4 linked regions of the Drosophila melanogaster genome follow. The protein of the gene in region 1 purifies or fractionates together with the protein of each later gene. This does not show direct contact. Each region holds a gene or a part of one and is shown in the gene's direction. Other genes may lie near its edges.

Region 1 (3,386 bases):
ACAAATATATTCTATTAAGGTCAAGTGATATTTGTGATGTAATCCCACTTACATAAACTTTTTTGAGCTAGCATTTAAGCTCATGCTTCTCGAATTCCCCACATGAATTGCTTTTCTTAAATGGACCAGACTCTCCCACTCCACACCTGATGTCCTCTAAATGGAGCCGATGATGAGCGTGATCCGCCAAAGGCAAGTTACTGCCCATACGACCCGACCCGACCTCTTTCTTTAAACAGGTAATTGCAATTGCGACATCATTATCATATGCTAAACGGAACTGATTGCTATTGAAACGGTTTTGAGGTTTGAATTTCTTTTGAGCTGAAACATATTTCTAATTAAATTAATTAAGCGAAGCGAGAATATGGCAAGTATGCAAGCCAATTAGTGGAAAACGCAAAATTAAATGTCTGTGCATTGAGGAGACTGCAGCGGTGTGGAGTGGATGGGTGTAAAAATAGCTGGGAAAAATGGCAACCAGAAGAGTGCGGGATCGCTCCGCCAACCCATTGTCCTTGTCCATGGAGCACTTTGTTGGCCACTCCGGCTATAATTGCGTTGAGACATGTAAGCTTTTGTTTTGCAGTTAGGCGTGTGGCTGTGCGACAAAGTTAATGACAGCATAATTAAACAAAACTAACAGCAGACTAATAAAATGTTCATAGTGCATGTCGCTCAAGGCCTCGGCACATCACCACGCCATCACAACCCCATCACCTCGCCACCCACAATGCCAGCTACTTTCCATATCTCCAAATGTATATACATTTATACAATACATATACCTGGCGAGCATTTCATGTCGTTGTGTGTCAACGTTTGTCAAGCGACAATTAAAGTCATAATAAAGGCATGCTAAAGACAATTATTATGTGCACGTCCTGCCACGCCCCCCAAAAAGAACCACCCAGTTCGTTCGGTTAGTTATGCATAAAGTTCGCCACAAAAGGGTTTAACCTGAGCGTAAACATGCGCTCCTTTGTCTCGCAGGCATATAAATTTCAAAATTAAAGCAGAGTTTAACCTTTGTCCTTGTGCAAATGGCAGGGTGGGTCTATAACCACCTGCCTGCGATTGTGTGAGACCCGCATAAAGAGCCTTCGGTTTTAATGCACGCGAAATTGACTTATTTGATTTATTTTCATAGTTTAAGCCAAGGGCTTTTATTATAAGCATGCTTTAAGTGAGTGGATTTGAGAGGGGATTTTAAGAAAATGCAAGGCAAAAGTTATATTTATATTCGCGTTGTTAATTATTTATTGAGTACTGTATTTTGCGGTGATTAAAAAAATAACGTTGTGTTTGAATAAAGAAAATCATTGTCCTCATAACACTGAGAATGCATAAAATAATTTTTTTTTTAATTGCCCCCAAGTACAGTAAAACAAATGTGCACAGAGCTTTCTTCGAAAAGTTATCCAACCAGCATGCATTCCACTATTCGCTCATTATGGAAAGCGGCTGATTAAATATTAACTAATTTAATAAAATGCCGGCCTGCTTCAATATTGAAATAGTCAGCGAATGTATTTGCCCAAGCGCACGTAGCCGAGATATATAAAAGGTGGTCCAGGGTGCAGAATGATTAGGCTATCCGTTGACCGACGATGCATTCGACCAAGTCAGCCGTTCTCCTGCTCGCCCTGGCCATCAGCGCCAGCTGCGTTGTTGCCACACCGCATCCGGAATTCTTGGATGAAATCTTCGGCTCCATAAACCAAACTGGCCAGCACATCATCAGTGGATTCGTGAATGCCACCAGGAATGGCACGGCCATTGCTGGTGAGTTCCTGGACAGCATAAGGAACTCCTCCGCCCAGTACACGCACGAAACCCTGGAGTTTGCCCAAAAAATCGCAGATGCAGTTCATAGAGCCGCCACTGAGTCAATCGTCGACTTTTCCGCGACTCTGAGGGCGCAGATCGACGCACTGCATCAGGGGATTGATCGGGTGAGAAACATCCTGCAGCGAGAGGCACTTAAGGATGCTCTCGCCAGACTGCAGACCGTCAATACCGTCGTAAATGATCTGGAAGTGGCCGTGAATAACCTCAATGATCGGATAGACGAGAAGAAACAAGAGTATTTCGCCATAATCCAGAAGAAGTGGTACCAATGGTCTGACGCCCAATTGGAACGAGTGGATAAGCTGACGAATGGAGTTGGCAACGAGGAAGCCGAGGAGATCATAAATGAGCTACTCTCCCGGTATTCCGGATATCTGCACAGCTGCCTGGAGGAGTTGCAAGCGCAGCAAGCCACGTTTGAGCAAAATGTCCAAGAGGCCATCGAAAAGTACCACAATGCCACCAACGAACTGACGGACCAAGTCGAGCTCTGCGTCCAGTTCAACCTCAGCTTCCTGTCCTGCCGCAATGGCATCAATGAGGCACTACGCGGACTCGACTCGGCTCCCGCGGAGCTGCTCACCCTGAAGCTTCAAGGCATCCGACTACTGGCCATCGGCCTGAATGCCAGCGGATGTGTGGGCCAGACCCTGGCCGAGCACGAGCTGGAGAAGCCCAGCGTGGAGCGCAAGCTGGATGAGATCATTGCGGAGTACCAGGAGCAGCAGACTTCCACCGATGACGACTCTAGCTCTAATAATGAAACGACCACCATAAGTTCGTAGGATTTCGGGGAGTCATCCAGTAATGAATATGACAACTCCAGCAATGACGACGAATCCTCATGGAAATATTTACAAGAACGTATAGTGTATTTTAGGTGTCGGGTAGAAGCAGCAAAATAAATTACTCTAATGCAACTAAATTAGAAATTGTTTTCCTTCATCGTTTATCAATGATGTTTCTTAATAAACTATGCCAAGCTTCTCAAAATATTTCTTAACTTTGAACAGTACTTTAAAAATTACTCTACCGCAAACGTATTACCCAGATACCGATTAACTTCATCAATGGTGCAGCACATTTTTTGCGGATGCTAAAGCAATTATTTTAAAATTGTCATATTCATTTATTTAGGTAAGGCACGAAAGTCGTGGCAATTTAAAGACACGAGGCTTTAGTAGATTAATTATTTAAATGCATTCGATTCTGCCTTTATATGTAAATTAAATAAGGGTGCTAAATAATATAGAAAAAGGGAAAAAGAAACTAACTTGCACTCTTAGCACCTCCCCTACTAACAAATGATGCAAATGAACTGAGTGAATTCCCCTTAAAGGACTTCCCCAGCTGCTATAAATATAAATAGTTGTATAACAACAGTAACGAAAGGTATAACACTGAATTAACAATCTCAACTGCTATAAAAATGAACTTTTGTGCTTTTGTATAACAGTCAATTGAAGAGGACACGAAGCGCGTAGTACAGCGTTTATAAAGTTTTATGCTGTTATATTTTTCAATGAAAATGTGTT
Region 2 (5,616 bases), on another chromosome or scaffold:
ACACTGCCCAGCTAGAGAAGTTCGTGTACAGCAGCATTGAGCCAGAGGGTTTGAGGGATCAGGAAAGGATCACGGTGCTGAGTCCGGTCTACTCCCGCGGCGAGGTGGGTCTGCTGGTCGCCATTGAGTTCCTGCAGAAGAACTGGGAAAAGTATGGTCAGCTAAATTCCGGCTTTGGTGGCGTAAATCCTCTGTACAGCGACATTGTGGGTATTTCCGCCTATACCGTCAACGACAAGCAGAAGGATGCCTTGCAAGAGTTGGTGGACACTGTCAAGGGTTCTGAGTATGTGCCCAGCACTCTGCAGGATAGCGTGGATAGCAACGTGAATGCCAACTACGCGTGGCTGGCTTCCAACAGGGATCCCCTGATGACCTGGGTCGCCGGATTCCGCAGCGGCAGCTCCGCCCTGAACGCCTCCATTTTGGCAATCCTTGCCTGCCTTCTGGCCGCCAAGCTATTCTAAAACGTAGATCCTAAGTTAGTTATAGATTTCCATTGTGCGCCCAATAAATTCCATTAATTTCCTAAAACTATTGTTTGCTTTTGCTGGGAATTTACAATTCCCTTCATAGGTTTATGGTCGTGAATTGCCAGATCGAAGTGGTCAGATAAGCGTGAGTATTTCATAAATTTCCTCTTTTGAAAAGTAAAAAACTCTGTTCTTACGACCACAGTTGAGCCATAAATACATGGGTAATCAGCCTTGGCAACTAATTTCATAAGTGTGAACGAAATCATGTTAGCCTTTAGTTTCACAAATGGTCGAATATAAATATAATAAAAGGAATTAAACAAAGACTGAAATTTCTTGAGGGGTTTTTATGACTTTAATAACTTGGTGGATACAGTTTTATAATCGGCGGTTTTTGCAAATTTAACAAACTACTGGGGGCGGTGTGCAGATATATTTTCTTGTTTATCATTCATATGCTTGACAAATGTGTTTTTTCAATAGCTTTGATACTCTATTGTGCCGTAAATAAGCGTTTGCCGTCAATTTTTGATTTGCTTTGGCCACTAATCAATCAATAATACTCATTAAATGCTTCATAGCAGGAAGAAGTTCCTTTAAGAGTACAATACACTTAACATAATGTGGTTCATATGTTGATAAGCCATTTTGCGATAGCGTTAGTTAATCCAAACGAATACAAGGTAAAATGTACGGACCGACAATTCTTTGGATGCTCATATAAAAAATTCAGACAAACCTATTCATGTTTGTTTCATTATTTACGAAGTATCTTGTAATCAACCAACATTAGCAACAACTTGGCAGTTAAAAGCTTTCCCCTTTGGAAGACTGCAAATCACGCTCGATAAGATTGGGTGCAATGCACCATAAAGTCTCAAAGAAGCAGTGCAACGGACAGCAAATGTTATGCCATCGTCTGGCAATCTTCAAAAAAATATTGTCAGCTTGGATTGGTAGCCAATGGCGGAGTGTGTAAATCACGACCCCTTATCGCTATCGCAGCTTAATCTATAGACCAGGCGAACTTTATCTGGGCCGAAATAAAACGTTAAAGTTTGCAGATAAGCCGCTGATACTAGCAAAGTCGCAAAATGGTTTACATTCACCATATATACCGGGCCCAAAGCCAAAACTCACTTAGTTTTCGAATCGAATCGCTGGCCGAGTGGCGTGCGAAATACTAATTCTAGTCCGAGGTTCGCGATCGAACCCTTGAAAAGTGAGTTTAATAAGTGCTTATATAAATGGGGATTTTTCAAGTAAAATTGGAACAATCCTTATAAAAGTGAAAAAAAAAACTTTAAATTACTAGACACGTACTAGCGATGCGATTAATTAAGTTTTTAATTTGTATCCCTTTTGATATTTCATTAGTAGGAAGAATGTTTGCCCCGCGAGTGGCTGTTCTCCTGGTGGCCTGTGTGTCCTTGGCCTCGGCAGGAACTCGGCAACTGTCTGTGGATGTCCAGCCGCCGGCGACGCTCGCCACCGAGCTAAATGAATACCGCCTGGCCGAGCACATCACGCCGGTTAACTACAACATTACGCTGCGTCCCTATTTGCTGGAGACCGATGGCAACAAGAGGTTCACCTTCGATGGCGAGGTTTGGATCGAGGTGATTTCCAACCAGACCACCAACGACATCTATCTGCACTCGAAAAACCTCACATATTCGGTCAGGGAATACTGGCAAAAGCCAACCACCGAAGTGGCCAATCCTACGGTCATCCAAATTAGTGCCACCAATACAACGAACTATGATACGGATATTGTAAAGCTGACGGCGTCAACTGCTTTGACCGCCAATACGACATATATACTGCATTTCGTGTACACCGGTCTGATGGAGGACGATATGCACGGTTTCTATCGCAGCTCCTATGTGGACGATAACAATGTTACCAAGTGGCTGGGATCCACCCAATTCCAAACCCATCACGCTCGTCGCGCCTTCCCCAGCTTTGATGAGCCCCAGTTCAAGGCCACCTTCGATGTCACGCTGAAGCGACACAGGACCTTCAACTCGGTCAGTAACACCCGTCTGATCTCATCGTATCCCAGCACTGAAGAGTAAGAACTTCCACCACTTTATTGTTAATCTGTAAGCCTTCCATTGGTTAAGAAATTCAACTATCTAGTGAGAATTTAATCGATTAACGAGAAAGTTGTTATTTCTTGATCTGAATATTATGTTTTATTTCACCCAATTATTAGAGGTATTTTCTCGGACGTGTACAAGACGACGCCCAAAATGTCCACCTATCTGCTGGCTTTCATAATTTCCGAGTTCGTGGCCCGTAAGGATGACGATTTCGGAGTTTACGCACGTCCCGAGTACTATGCTCAGACCCAGTACCCCTACAATGTGGGTATCCAGATTTTGGAGGAGATGGGCCAGTACCTGGATAAGGACTACTACTCTATGGGCAACGACAAGATGGATATGGCCGCCATTCCGGATTTCTCGGCCGGAGCAATGGAGAACTGGGGTCTGTTGACCTACAGGGAGCGTTCCCTGCTGGTGGACGAGTCGGCTACTACCTTGGCCTCCCGCCAGTCCATTGCCGCCGTGGTGGCTCACGAACAGGCGCACATGTGGTTCGGCGATCTGGTCACCTGCAAGTGGTGGAGCTACACCTGGCTTAACGAGGGATTCGCTCGCTATTTCCAATACTTCGGCACCGCCATGGTCGAGGACAAATGGGAGCTGGAGAAGCAGTTTGTGGTTGACCAGGTGCAGTCGGTCATGGCCATGGACTCGACCAATGCCACCAATCCGCTGAGCGATGAGAACACCTACACGCCCGCCCATCTGAGCCGCATGTTTAACAGCATCTCCTACAACAAGGGAGCCACCTTCATCCGTATGATCAAGCACACCATGGGCGAGCAACAATTCCAGAAGTCCCTGCAGGAATACCTGAAGAAATAGTGAGTAGTGGGGAAATTAAATATGTGACTTGTATTTCAAGGGTTTTTCTTGCTTACAGCGAGTATCAGTCGTCTTTGCCTGAATATCTCTTGGGAGCCTGGCAAGCCAATTGGCCCAACTCCAGTTACAATGAAAGCTCCAAAGATATATTCAAGAGCTTCACCGAGCAGGTGGGCTATCCACTGATCAATGTAACTGTTGGCAACAGTCAGGTCAGCTTCACGCAGAAGCGTTTCCTGCTGAAGGAGAGCGATGGATCCGACTCATCTTTGAAATATACTGTGCCCATTTCCTACACTACCAGTGAGACAAATAACTTTTTGAACACCACGCCAAAGTTTATTCTGAAACCCAACGTAACTACGACGGTTCAATTCAACTCAACAATAAAATGGATTGTGGTCAATATTCAGCAGACCGGATATTACCGTGTCACCTACTCCGACGACAATTGGCATGCCATCCACCACGCTCTGATCACAGCCAACTGGGGAGGAATTCACGAGAACAATCGCGCCCAGATCGTGGATGATCTGTTCAATCTGGCCAGGGCTGGATATGTTACCTACAACCTTACCTTGGATGTGATCGAGTATTTGCAGACGGAGACCAACTACATCCCCTGGACATCCGCCTTCAACGGCTTCAACTACTTGACTATCCGCCTCGGAAACGACACGGCCGATTTCAATTACTATATCCAGACCCTGACCAACAAGGCCTACAATCAGCTGGGCTTCAATGAAGCATCGAATGATACAGCCTTGGACATTTACCTACGCACTAAGATCCTCTCCTGGGCCTGTCGCTATGGCAGCTCCGATTGCATCAGCCAGGCCCAGGGCTACTTCCAATCGTTGGCCACCGTGCCCAAGAACATACGCGCCACTGTCTACTGCGTGGGTCTGCGTGAAGGTGGTGAGGCCGAGTTCCAGGCTCTTTACAACAAGTTCAAGAACGAGACCGTGGCCACCGAGGAGACCCTGCTGCAGAACTCATTCGGTTGCGTCAAGACCCAGTCTCTAATCGAGAAGGTGTTCGATCTGATCATCAGCGATGAGATTCGACGACAGGACAAGTCATCCGTGCTGGCCACTCTCTACACGGAGAACAACGAGAATGTCAGTCCGGTGTTTGCACTGGTCACTCAGAAATACGAGGAATTGGCTGAGGCGTAAGTATATCCTATTATTTGGTTTGGCTTGCATTTTATAATTCACTTCTTTCTGCAGCATGGGCGGCTACTCCGCTGTGGCCACGGTGATTTCCAATATCGCCGCCCGTTTCACCACAAATCAGCAGTTAACTGATCTGGAGAACTTCAACAAGGCTAATGGCGCCAAGTTCGGCAGCTCGCAGGCCACTTTGACCGCCGCCGAGGCAACCGTTAAGGAGAACTTGGAGTGGGCTACGGCCAAGCTGGGCGTTTTCCGCAGCTATCTGGCCAACTATCGTAGTGGAAGCGCCATGGTCAACGCCTTCAGCGCCATCAGCCTTTTGATGGTGGCCCTGGTCACCATGCTGCGTAACTAAGCAGGGATTAGCTCCTACTGGAGTCAGGTGCGATCGAGTCACGAGTGCTCCTTAGGCCATAAAGTATTTGTACGCAAGAGCACCCAATAAAGTAACACCTTTTTGTAGATAAGCCGCTGTTTTAGTTTATTATTACTCGTGCTAGCAAAATCGATCATGAAATGGGCTTAAATGACACCCATGGCGACAATTAATTTACAATCTGATTAGCGACAATATTGCCGGGTGATTCAGTTCGGGATCTTGAGGGGATTTTATAAAACTACGGTTCAATCGATCACTATTTGGCCATAAATTTGTTGAAGGGCAATAAACGATTTTTTTTTAAGTTTTACCGAAATTTCCGGCGAAAAGGTGTTTTATTTATTTTTTATTAGATTGTATTAGCCATTAATTTAAGTCTGGCGCGTAATAAATCAAACCATATTAAGCCATTAGGGTTTTTTTTTTTAATTTGTGTGCTTTAATTTTGATGCAATTAAAAAAAAAGACAAGGAATATCGCTGAAACTTAAACTGACCGACATAAGTAATAAATTACTATCTTTATTGCTAGCTCTTTTACAATATTGTCTTGCAGATATCGATCTTACCACCTATTCTGGCTAACTAAGTTGATTCACTTTTCGTGGAACCCAATCGAAAACATAATCCTTATCGCATCTTATCAAT
Region 3 (5,052 bases), on another chromosome or scaffold:
TCCCTAAAAATGGTTGCCTGTGAGTCTTCTATATAGAGTAGCATATCCCGAAGGAACAGTAACTAATGTGAACTCATTTTAGGGCTGACGGTTAAGTCAGTGGCCATCTTTTTGGGCCTGGCCTCTACTGCTTTTTGTGTGGCCACGATTGTGCTGGCCGTTCAGAATGCGGACCTGGAGAACGATCTGCAGGATGCCCTCGATAAGATCGACGCATTGACGGTGGACACCACGTCCACGTCCTCCACCTCTACCAGCACTTCCACGACCACCACCACTGCAAATCCCAATGGGCCCACGGATGACACCGAGCCTGGCTCTACCACCACACCTGGCGTAGGAGGTGACACAACCCCCAGTGCAGGAACATCTCCGGGTGGTGAAACTTCGCCATCATCCAGTACAGGAAGCACCACCAATCCCATCTATCCGACATTGCCGACAGGACTTCCTGATCCTGAAAAGGTGAGTGAAGTGCAAGAAAAATATATTTCACGGCTATAAAAGATGTTAGTTCAGAAAAACCCTCACACAGAGTGGGAAAATTTTCAGCGATTAGACGTAAAGTCGGCATGGCTACTAATTTCGAATTTATTAAGTTCCAACTTAGTCTTACTGGTCATTTCAAGTGCTTATCGCTTGGCTAGCGTTTTTTTTCCTCTTTTTTATCATAATACAAAACGGGTCTAATTTCTTGGGTCTTTTAAGTTAGTTTAATTGCGGCTAACGCAGTGTTAGGAGCCACAAAAATGGGACACATGCAGGACAGGATTAAGGGTATTTATTGATAACGAAGGAAGTTTTGGGAAAACACCGATACCGATTCATGTATATTTTCATAGACTTGATCACCGCTGAGCGCGTGGCTATATTCTTTGGTCTATTATCGACCTGCTTGATCGTTGCCCTTGTCATTGTGGCCGTCCACAGGGATAATTTATTGCTGCAGTTGGACGAAGCCAAAAGGATGTTGGATGTTCTGGAGGAATACATTCAAAGCCACTTGTTGTCCACCATTTCGGAAAGAAATTCATAAGAATTAGGGTGCTGGCAAACATTCAAAAAGATGGCTTTCAAATCCATATCTATTTCCAAAAATGGTTAAAGCAATAAAGCAATAAAGGCAAACGGATAAGAAACCAAAATACGCTTAGGTTTCAATATTTGTGTAGTAGAGCTATTGTTGTTTGATATCTGAAATTGCACCTAATAAATTAGGACCCTAATTTCACAACATTTAGCCACTATATCCAGCTAAGGCATATTTGTTGCAACGACGTCCACTTGGTTTACGACCTGACCACAACAGTGCTATTTCCTATCGCCACCTTATCAACGCATTGCTCACTTAATAGGGCCAAAGCCCATTATCGATGGCGTGGATATTAAATAAACTTTACGACCCCGCAGATCGAATGGCGCCTGCCCACGGAACTGACGCCCATCAAGTACAAGGTGTACTACCATCCCGACTTGACGACCGGCGCCTGTGAGGGAACCGTGTCCATTCAGTTCCAGCTGAACGCGATCACCAACCTGATCGTCCTGCACGCCAAGGAGCTCAATGTGCACAGCATCAGCATCCTGAACATGATGGCGCGCATACGCGTGGCCATCGATAGCATCAACTTGGATGAGTCCCGGGAGCTGCTCCTGATCACGCTAAGAGAGGTCCTCAGTATGAACAAGGCCTACACACTGTCCGCAAGTTTCGACTGCGATCTGAGCAGTCTGGTGGGCAGCTACATCAGCAACTACACGAATGCCGATGGAGTAGATAGGTGAGTAATTTTAAGGTATATCTTGCGATGACAAACATTTTGTTAGCATGTCTAGACTAAGATGTCAGGTATCTTTATTATATCGTACTATTTATGTAGCTAAGATCGTATCTAGTGCACTGTCCGCAACTAGTACGATTGCAAGCACACTTGTGAATACCCCCAATGCATTGGAGATCATCGCATGTTGGGGCCATAAAAAAGCCGGTCTCAGCTGATGAGAGAGCTTTCCGGAGAAGCTCGAGTGCCGTGACAACTTTGGAGCCCGCTTCAGTCGGAAGTTCAGAGCAGAGCGCGACGGTCGCGATAGAAAAGAGCGGACTCCGTCTGCAAATACGATCTCAATTACGATTCTCGCGATTCCCCTTTCTTTTCGCTTTTCTTCGTTTTCTCGGATTTCTCGAGTGCGCGCCTACGATTTGAATCAAGAATGATAGCTGTCCGGCAATTGCCGTTATCAAATTAGCCGAGTGAATATTCCTCGGACCCGGCAAAGTTACAATTAATGCCATTCGTAGACAAAAGAAAAACGAAAAACGAGACACGAAAAGCTGTGATTTCAACTGTAAATCAAGTAAAAGGCATAGTGCGAAATGTGACGGGAATAATAGATAATAAGTGGCCCATATCAATCAGATACCGTTGAGTCCGCTCCAAAAGCTCCACGCCAATACAAAATGACCATTGTCACCGCATCGCCGTTATGCGATCAAAATTCTAGTTTTAATTGGGCGCATTGAGGCGATCACTATTTTTAATATTCGCTGAAATGTGACCACCGGATTCTATGCCAACTTTGACTTTCAACGGGTATTCGTTTCGATAAACAACGGGCCATCGCAGGCTGGCCAAGAGAACTCCACATGGCTGAATCAAACAGGTTGCACCGCTCCCTTCCCCTCCCCTCCTTCTTTCCCACACCCCTTTGGGACCGCTGCAAACAGGCTTGGAGCCAAATGCATACATAGTTCACTTGCCGCGCAAGTTCTTGGCCTTAAATCGGCCACAATCGATGCACAGCAAAAAAAAAAAGAAAAGAATTATATCTATCGTAGCCCATTATCAGATTATATTGGTATGTCTCTTATCAACGAGAAGTAGATTCTGTTCGTAGTTGCATTCTTTGACATTTATCAACAATTGTTACCAATCTGATTATAAGAAAAATTAATATCACAGTTTTTTTAATTATCAATATTATCAATATTATAAATTGTATATATAAATACAATTACGGCAATTAGACATTTTACTTCTTCATTAGATCTTCAATTTGTATCTTCGATTTTGTTGGTAATCATTTGCTTATGATTTTTTTTGCTGTGTATCTGTGGTTGTTGGCCAGCAAATGCGTCGTGTTTACATCTTCAATGCGGCAAATACTCAATGGCCGCTGAGAAAATACTTTCTTCAAAAAGCCGCAACAAAATGGGTCGACATCATTGACTGCCAAGAAACTTGTTGTCATAGTAGCTTCCCCTACCCGTTTCTCGCTGTGTTTCCTGGGTTTGTTTTGTTCTTGAAAGTTCAGTCAAAGCTCGGTGGTCAAACCTTTTTTTCATTTTCATTGACACTGATTTCTTTTTCGTTCTTCTTGGGCGAAATAGAAATTTTTTTATTTCCAAACGGTGGGAAAGAACCTTCGAAAGTGGAGGGCTTTTTAATTGGATTTTTGTGCTAATAATGTAAATTAACGGCTGTTGTTGGCAGAATTGATAAGGCACTTGACACCTTTGGCGGTGTGTAAATTATACAATTTAACACCTTGAAGTTCATTGATCTACATGCTGAAATATAAACAATTTCATTGATCTTCTATTTATAAAATATTTATTTATTTATATTTCAATGAACTGTTGATAAAGCTTACATAAATATTTGTAAATATCGCATGGTTTCGAGTTTCCTATTTTCCAATATTGAAGTTATTTATAAAGTGTATATCATGAAATCTATAGCATTAAATTAAGCAAGTCAAGGCCGAAGTTTCCTCTCCGATTTTATAGTTTATTTGTGTTGAAAGTGATGCAACCCATTGATTAATAGTAAATTTATTTCGCATTCCGTTAACCCCAAACATGCAAATTGTGGCAATCATTTCTTTGTCAACGCATCTTCCTTTTATTTATTGTTTTTATTTGAATTTTCCCTTTGTGTATATCATAAATTGCAGGCACGTATAGTCGACCATTGTCAATTTCATCCCACCGCGGGTGTTATGGGTAGTATTTCTTCCATGTCTGGGATTCACTTTGAGTTTTTGGGTGTTTCTGGGGCGCACTTGTCACGTATAACTTTGTGTTTATTGTGAAAGTTATGACCTTAAAAAGCCCGAAGAACGTGTTTCAAATGTAAGCTTTCAGTTTCGAATTCCAAAATTTAAAAGCATCTCTGCTCTGAAGTAAACAAACATATAATGGAGTGACAAACAGGGATATTTATCTGAATGATCTGAATCTGAATTTATCTGACAACACAAATTGTTACTGTTTAGCATAAGAAATGATCCACGTTTCTTATATCAAATAATGTTTAGATTAATTCCTTTTTAAGCTGCTGTATTGCGCATTAGTTTTTTTTTTCTGTGTGCTTTCGACTCGATCTACAAAGTAGTGAAATTTATGCGACTCATTAGCGAAGTATGAGAACTGTTATGTTATGGCTTGTGCCCCCGCGATCATCGCTTCATCGGCTTCAGAATGCCGAGATATTCACATCTGTGCAATGGGGCGTGTCCGATTGGCTGTTGGAAGTCGGAGATATATGAACTCATATGGTACATATGTATATACCAACCATTGTCTGCAGATCTTCTGGTTGCTTTTTTTCCGGCGCTCATAAGGTGGTAGTCATGCAATTTTGTTGACTCCGATGTGCGGTGGCTTTGTGCGATGTGCGCTCCCTAATTGAGTCAGCATTACATCATCCGCGGAAGATGCAAGGGGGCGTATACGTATTATACCATGTGTATCAGAGACAATTGCCTGCCGGCTGGTGAAAATTAGCATATTCTGCAGCCTCGAATTCCTCAATTCGCACAATTCCGAGTGAATGGTGATCCGTGTGATACTTCAGCTGCATCGCGTATTGTTCTTTTTTTTTTGGCTTAATACTCCTATATCCTGACATCATTTTCGAAAAGCAAGCCGTGGATCATGACTCTGCGGGCAACTCAATTCATTTCCAATGCTAATAATGGCATCTGTAATTTCTTGCCATCGCACAACCTGCGGAGATTTGTGCAACAGACTCCGTAAATTGACAGGCAAAA
Region 4 (4,247 bases), 590 kb from region 1:
TCTCCTTTGTGCGCGTTTTGCGGTCCACTCATTGTTCACACGTTCCATTTACATGGCCATTGGCGAGTATTTCCTCTGCAGCATTAAAATGTCAAATTACCCACACTGCCACAGCATTCAATCAATGCACCCATATCAAGGCTTAAAACGCCGCTCAGCCTGGCCAAAAAGCTGAGAAAAAAAAACCGAAGCAAACAAGAATACGGAGCCAAACACAAATCCGAGATCAAAAGTTCAGTCACGAAGCCACACAGAATCAAGCAGACTATGCGGCGCATGTTTCTTCTGCAGCCAAGCAATTTACATTCAATATGCAACTGCAACTGCAACTGGATTTGTAACCTGAAATTTTCGGAAATGTGTGGCTAATGTGAATTTAACTTATGGCTGTGGAACACTTTGCCCGTTGTGTCTAATTTGATTATGTGACTGAAGTGCTCGCGGTCAGTTATTTATTAATGGCTCAAGGCTTTGGGGCAAAAATTTCCCAACACTAAGGACTAGTCAAAATTATGCATTAGAAAAGTATTTGTGATCTCTTTTTTAATGTATATATTTTTTAATAATTATGAAGGTTTCGTTACCAGCCAAAAATTACTCATTTATTTATGGTCCATAAATTTTAAACTCTTTATGTTCATTTTTAACTTTGTTAATATTTAATTTTTAATTGAATAATTATTATGTTTATAATTAATGTTCTTTTCGAATGTGTTGATTTCCAAAGATTTATGTAAAATGGTAAGAAATACAAGTAGTTTATTTTATTTGTCGTGTTCATTAATGTAATTTTACCTGGGAAACAAACACTAACACTTCATGTATTTATGTGAGATTTTTACAAAAAATATATTAATAAGATATATTTGTACAAAGGGAAAATGATAATATAATAATGGCTACATATAACAATACTAACTGCGCAAAAAGACGTCGGAGGAAGGGCTCCGATCTAAAATTACATAAACTTTCTAAGGACTTTTAAAGCTGTTTACTAAAATTTTAACAATACAAAATTTATCACTTTTCGAATATTCTAGAAACAAACTCTGAGACTCTAAAACTCTAAAGTCGTTGATTAAAATTCATACGTATATGATTAAAAAAGTCTATATTGTTTGAACTGTACAATTAAGAGCGATTCTCCAAAAGAATTGATTGGATCTCTTTGGTAGATTAAGGCAAAATTAAACGAAATTACCCATTTGCTATGTTTGTTATGTTGGCTATTGGCAAGAAACGATTCTTTCTACTAAACTGTGCCCCCAGTTACTTGGTGTCTGAATACTTTCAGTAGTTCCCAAAGATCGCTACAGTTGGAGCTCGAGTGTTCACAGATACGCACTCATACAGGCGCAGATCACACGGACAACATGGACACTGTCCGTGTGAGGCACCCTCTTTCGAAAAAGCTCGCTTGCTGACGCATTTCCTTTGGGCCACGGGCTCACACGGACAGTTGGCCAAGAGAGAGAGGAGCTGTCGAACGGATGGAGAGCGAGCTTTTTCAACACGGCTGCTGCGATCTCGATTCACGTCGACTGCGCAGCCGCGGCTGAAGACAATCCCGCCACAGCATCGGCCATATAAAAGCTCGCTGCGTCTGTGCGAAATTATTCAGTTAACTGTTGCGGGTTGGTTGAGACATACAAGCCCATCTTGATCGCAAAGTGTTGAGGAGCTAACCTAGTGCAAAATGAAATCCATGGTATGTTCGGTCTGAGCTCAGTGTGTTCTCCTTCGAAGTGCTGCTTAGAATAATTGTGTTTCAAAAACTCGGATTCAGTTAAAGTGACTTGCAAAAGAATATATATATATATATTTATGGAACAATGTAGACATATCGGTGTTGCAATTAAAGTATTTTTAAAAAGGTTTTTGCACGACTTCATCAGCTCTTTCAAAAGCAAGGATAGAACGGATATTCTAAAATGTCTCTAGATATGTTACTTTTTTGTGGCATTTTGGTTTACCCAAGTAAATATGAACATGGTTTTAAGAAAGGATTTTTAGAGAGAAAACTAATTGAAATATTTAATTTTTCCATTACCAGTTCTACATTTAAATCTTATTGAAAGAAATCACATTTCATAATTACTAAAATCGAAAAGTGTTAAGGATCATTTTAACCCGAAAAGGATAGGCAGTCCTAGAATATGTTTTTAGCATTTAAAAAAGAAAACAAAAATGTAGATTCGTATTAAAAAGCTTTGAACGCGAAACTACAAAGAGTTGAATTTGCCTTCTTCCAATTTGTATTTTAACCGAATTATTGCGAAAATATCAAGCCACATTAAGTATACGCCGCATGCCCAATATGTCAGGGGGCCTAGGCCACAATTGAACTTGGCTGGTTGCCCAGCCAACTTTCCACCCAACATTGCATAATTGTCATATTCCAAATTATGGAGTAATCGGGCGGAGGTGGAGCCGGAAGCGGCTGCAGTTGCATAACCGCCCGACCAAGCCAATTGGGTTTCTATCGAATTTAACCCACTTGTCATTGCAGCTCATTTTCGGCCTTGTGGCGATGTGCGTGCTGGTGGCCAACGCCAGTGAGGAGGCACCCAAGAAGGCCGTCGAGACCGCCGAGCCCGCCGAGAAGAAGCAGGAGAAGCGCGGCATTGGCCACGGTCTGGGCTACGGATACGGACCATCGGCGGGAGGCGCCATTCTGGGATCCGGCATCGGTGTTGGAGTTCCAGTGGCTCCCGCTGTCGCTGAGCTGCCCACCCAGGTGCACACCAACACCGTGGTGAGGACCGTGCAGGTGCCCTACCAGGTGGAGCGTCACGTTCCCTACCCCGTCGAGAAGACCGTCACCTATCCCGTTAAGGTGCCCGTGCCCCAGCCCTACCCCGTGGAGAAGATCGTCCATGTGCCCGTCAAGCAGATCGTGAAGGTGCCCGTCGAGGTGCCCCAGCCCTACCCCGTCGAGAAGGTGATCCGTGTGCCCGTGAAGATCCCAGTTGATCGTCCCTACACCGTCCATGTCGACAAGCCATACCCCGTGCCCGTGGAGAAGCCCGTGCCATACACCGTCGAGAAGCGTGTGATCCACAAGGTGCCCGTCCATGTGGAGCGTCCAGTGCCCTACAAGGTGGCCGTGCCCGTGCCTGTCCACGTTGAGAGCCACGTCAAGCCCGCCGTGGCCGTCACCCACACCGTTGCCGCTGCTCCTGCCATCATCAGCCACGGCTACTCCGGACACGGAATCTCCGGATACGGAATTTCCGGACACGGAATCTCCTCCTACGGCAGCTCCTCCTACGGCGGCTCCGCCCACGGTGGCTACCTCCACAAAAAGTAGATGAAATCGCAATGCTGTCGAGGGCCAAGCGAGAAGTGAAGTCGGGTGAAGGCGAGCGAACCAACCAACAAGTCGAAAGTATCCAACAGACATTAAGAATCAAGCACCCCTCCCTCTCTTTCCACGCCCAGCAACCGCCAACGTACGACTTACAAATTTAGTTTTAGTTTGTGATACCAACCGAAATTCTGGAAGGATCGGAACCAGGAGAAAATCACACAACTGACGCAATCCATTATAGAAAGCTTGCCAAAACCCATCCGGGGCGTTTGAAAAGTGCCTGTCTCCTGGCATCCAAATCCATCGAGTGTACAGTTCTTTTGTAGACAATCACAGAGAAATAACTGCTGACGAGTTGCTCCTTCGACTTTTTCACGTAAATTTCTTTTCTATGAAATATTTGTACATATTTAAATAATGTAAATAAAACGAAAATTAAAAAAAAAAAACTTAAGACTTGTACTTTCAGAAATACTGGGCTTTCCATTAAAAAAAAAAAAGATAGAAGTTCGATAGGATATTTTTAAGGTATATAGGGTATTTTCACTTAATGAGCCTTTTGTTTAAGCTGAAAGCTTAATTTGTATTGCTGCATTGCTATTTTGGAATAAATACATTTTTTTACAGAAGTTATATATCTGTCAAGTTAAAACGTAGCCATAAAGGACTACATATTATATATTTACATATTATATATTTATATATAATATATATATATATTATATATTTATGGATATTTATTAATTTTTATGAGGGGGTGTGGAGTTACTCTTAAGTGGATTAATACAGCTTATTTTAGTCAAAGGATATTCCCACAACTATGCAATGATTTATTTATTTATTATAAATTTTGGGAATTATTCTGAATTGCATTACAGTGCGTCAAGTAATTGTTCGCAAACAATGTTTTTAAAACTGTAAATTTAGTGAGTAGGCC

What was found.
Region 2: the proteins of CG16826 (region 1) and CG31198 purify together in Drosophila melanogaster (affinity purification with mass spectrometry, with the first as the bait; one large-scale study listed by BioGRID). This does not show direct contact.
Region 3: the proteins of CG16826 (region 1) and CG32473 purify together in Drosophila melanogaster (affinity purification with mass spectrometry, with the first as the bait; one large-scale study listed by BioGRID). This does not show direct contact.
Region 4: the proteins of CG16826 (region 1) and Vajk2 purify together in Drosophila melanogaster (affinity purification with mass spectrometry, with the first as the bait; one large-scale study listed by BioGRID). This does not show direct contact.

Annotation. Positions count from the first base shown.
Region 1 is NT_033779.5:13,346,187-13,349,572, forward strand, and holds CG16826 (uncharacterized protein), read left to right. Parts: upstream 1-1,586; 5' UTR 1,587-1,610; coding exon 1,611-2,636; 3' UTR 2,637-2,834; downstream 2,835-3,386.
Region 2 is NT_033777.3:21,752,708-21,758,323, forward strand, and holds CG31198 (uncharacterized protein), read left to right. Parts: upstream 1-1,616; 5' UTR 1,617-1,698; intron 1,699-1,853; 5' UTR 1,854-1,861; coding exon 1,862-2,550; intron 2,551-2,694; coding exon 2,695-3,411; intron 3,412-3,470; coding exon 3,471-4,586; intron 4,587-4,644; coding exon 4,645-4,945; 3' UTR 4,946-5,051; downstream 5,052-5,616. Other genes in the region: CG31233 (uncharacterized protein), read left to right, coding at 1-467.
Region 3 is NT_033777.3:13,302,716-13,307,767, forward strand, and holds the start of CG32473 (uncharacterized protein), read left to right. Parts: upstream 1-2,048; 5' UTR 2,049-2,355; intron 2,356-5,052. Other genes in the region: CG43208 (uncharacterized protein), read left to right, coding at 750-777, 843-1,036.
Region 4 is NT_033779.5:13,932,059-13,936,305, reverse strand, and holds Vajk2 (Vajk2), read left to right. Parts: upstream 1-1,613; 5' UTR 1,614-1,696; coding exon 1,697-1,708; intron 1,709-2,509; coding exon 2,510-3,310; 3' UTR 3,311-3,747; downstream 3,748-4,247.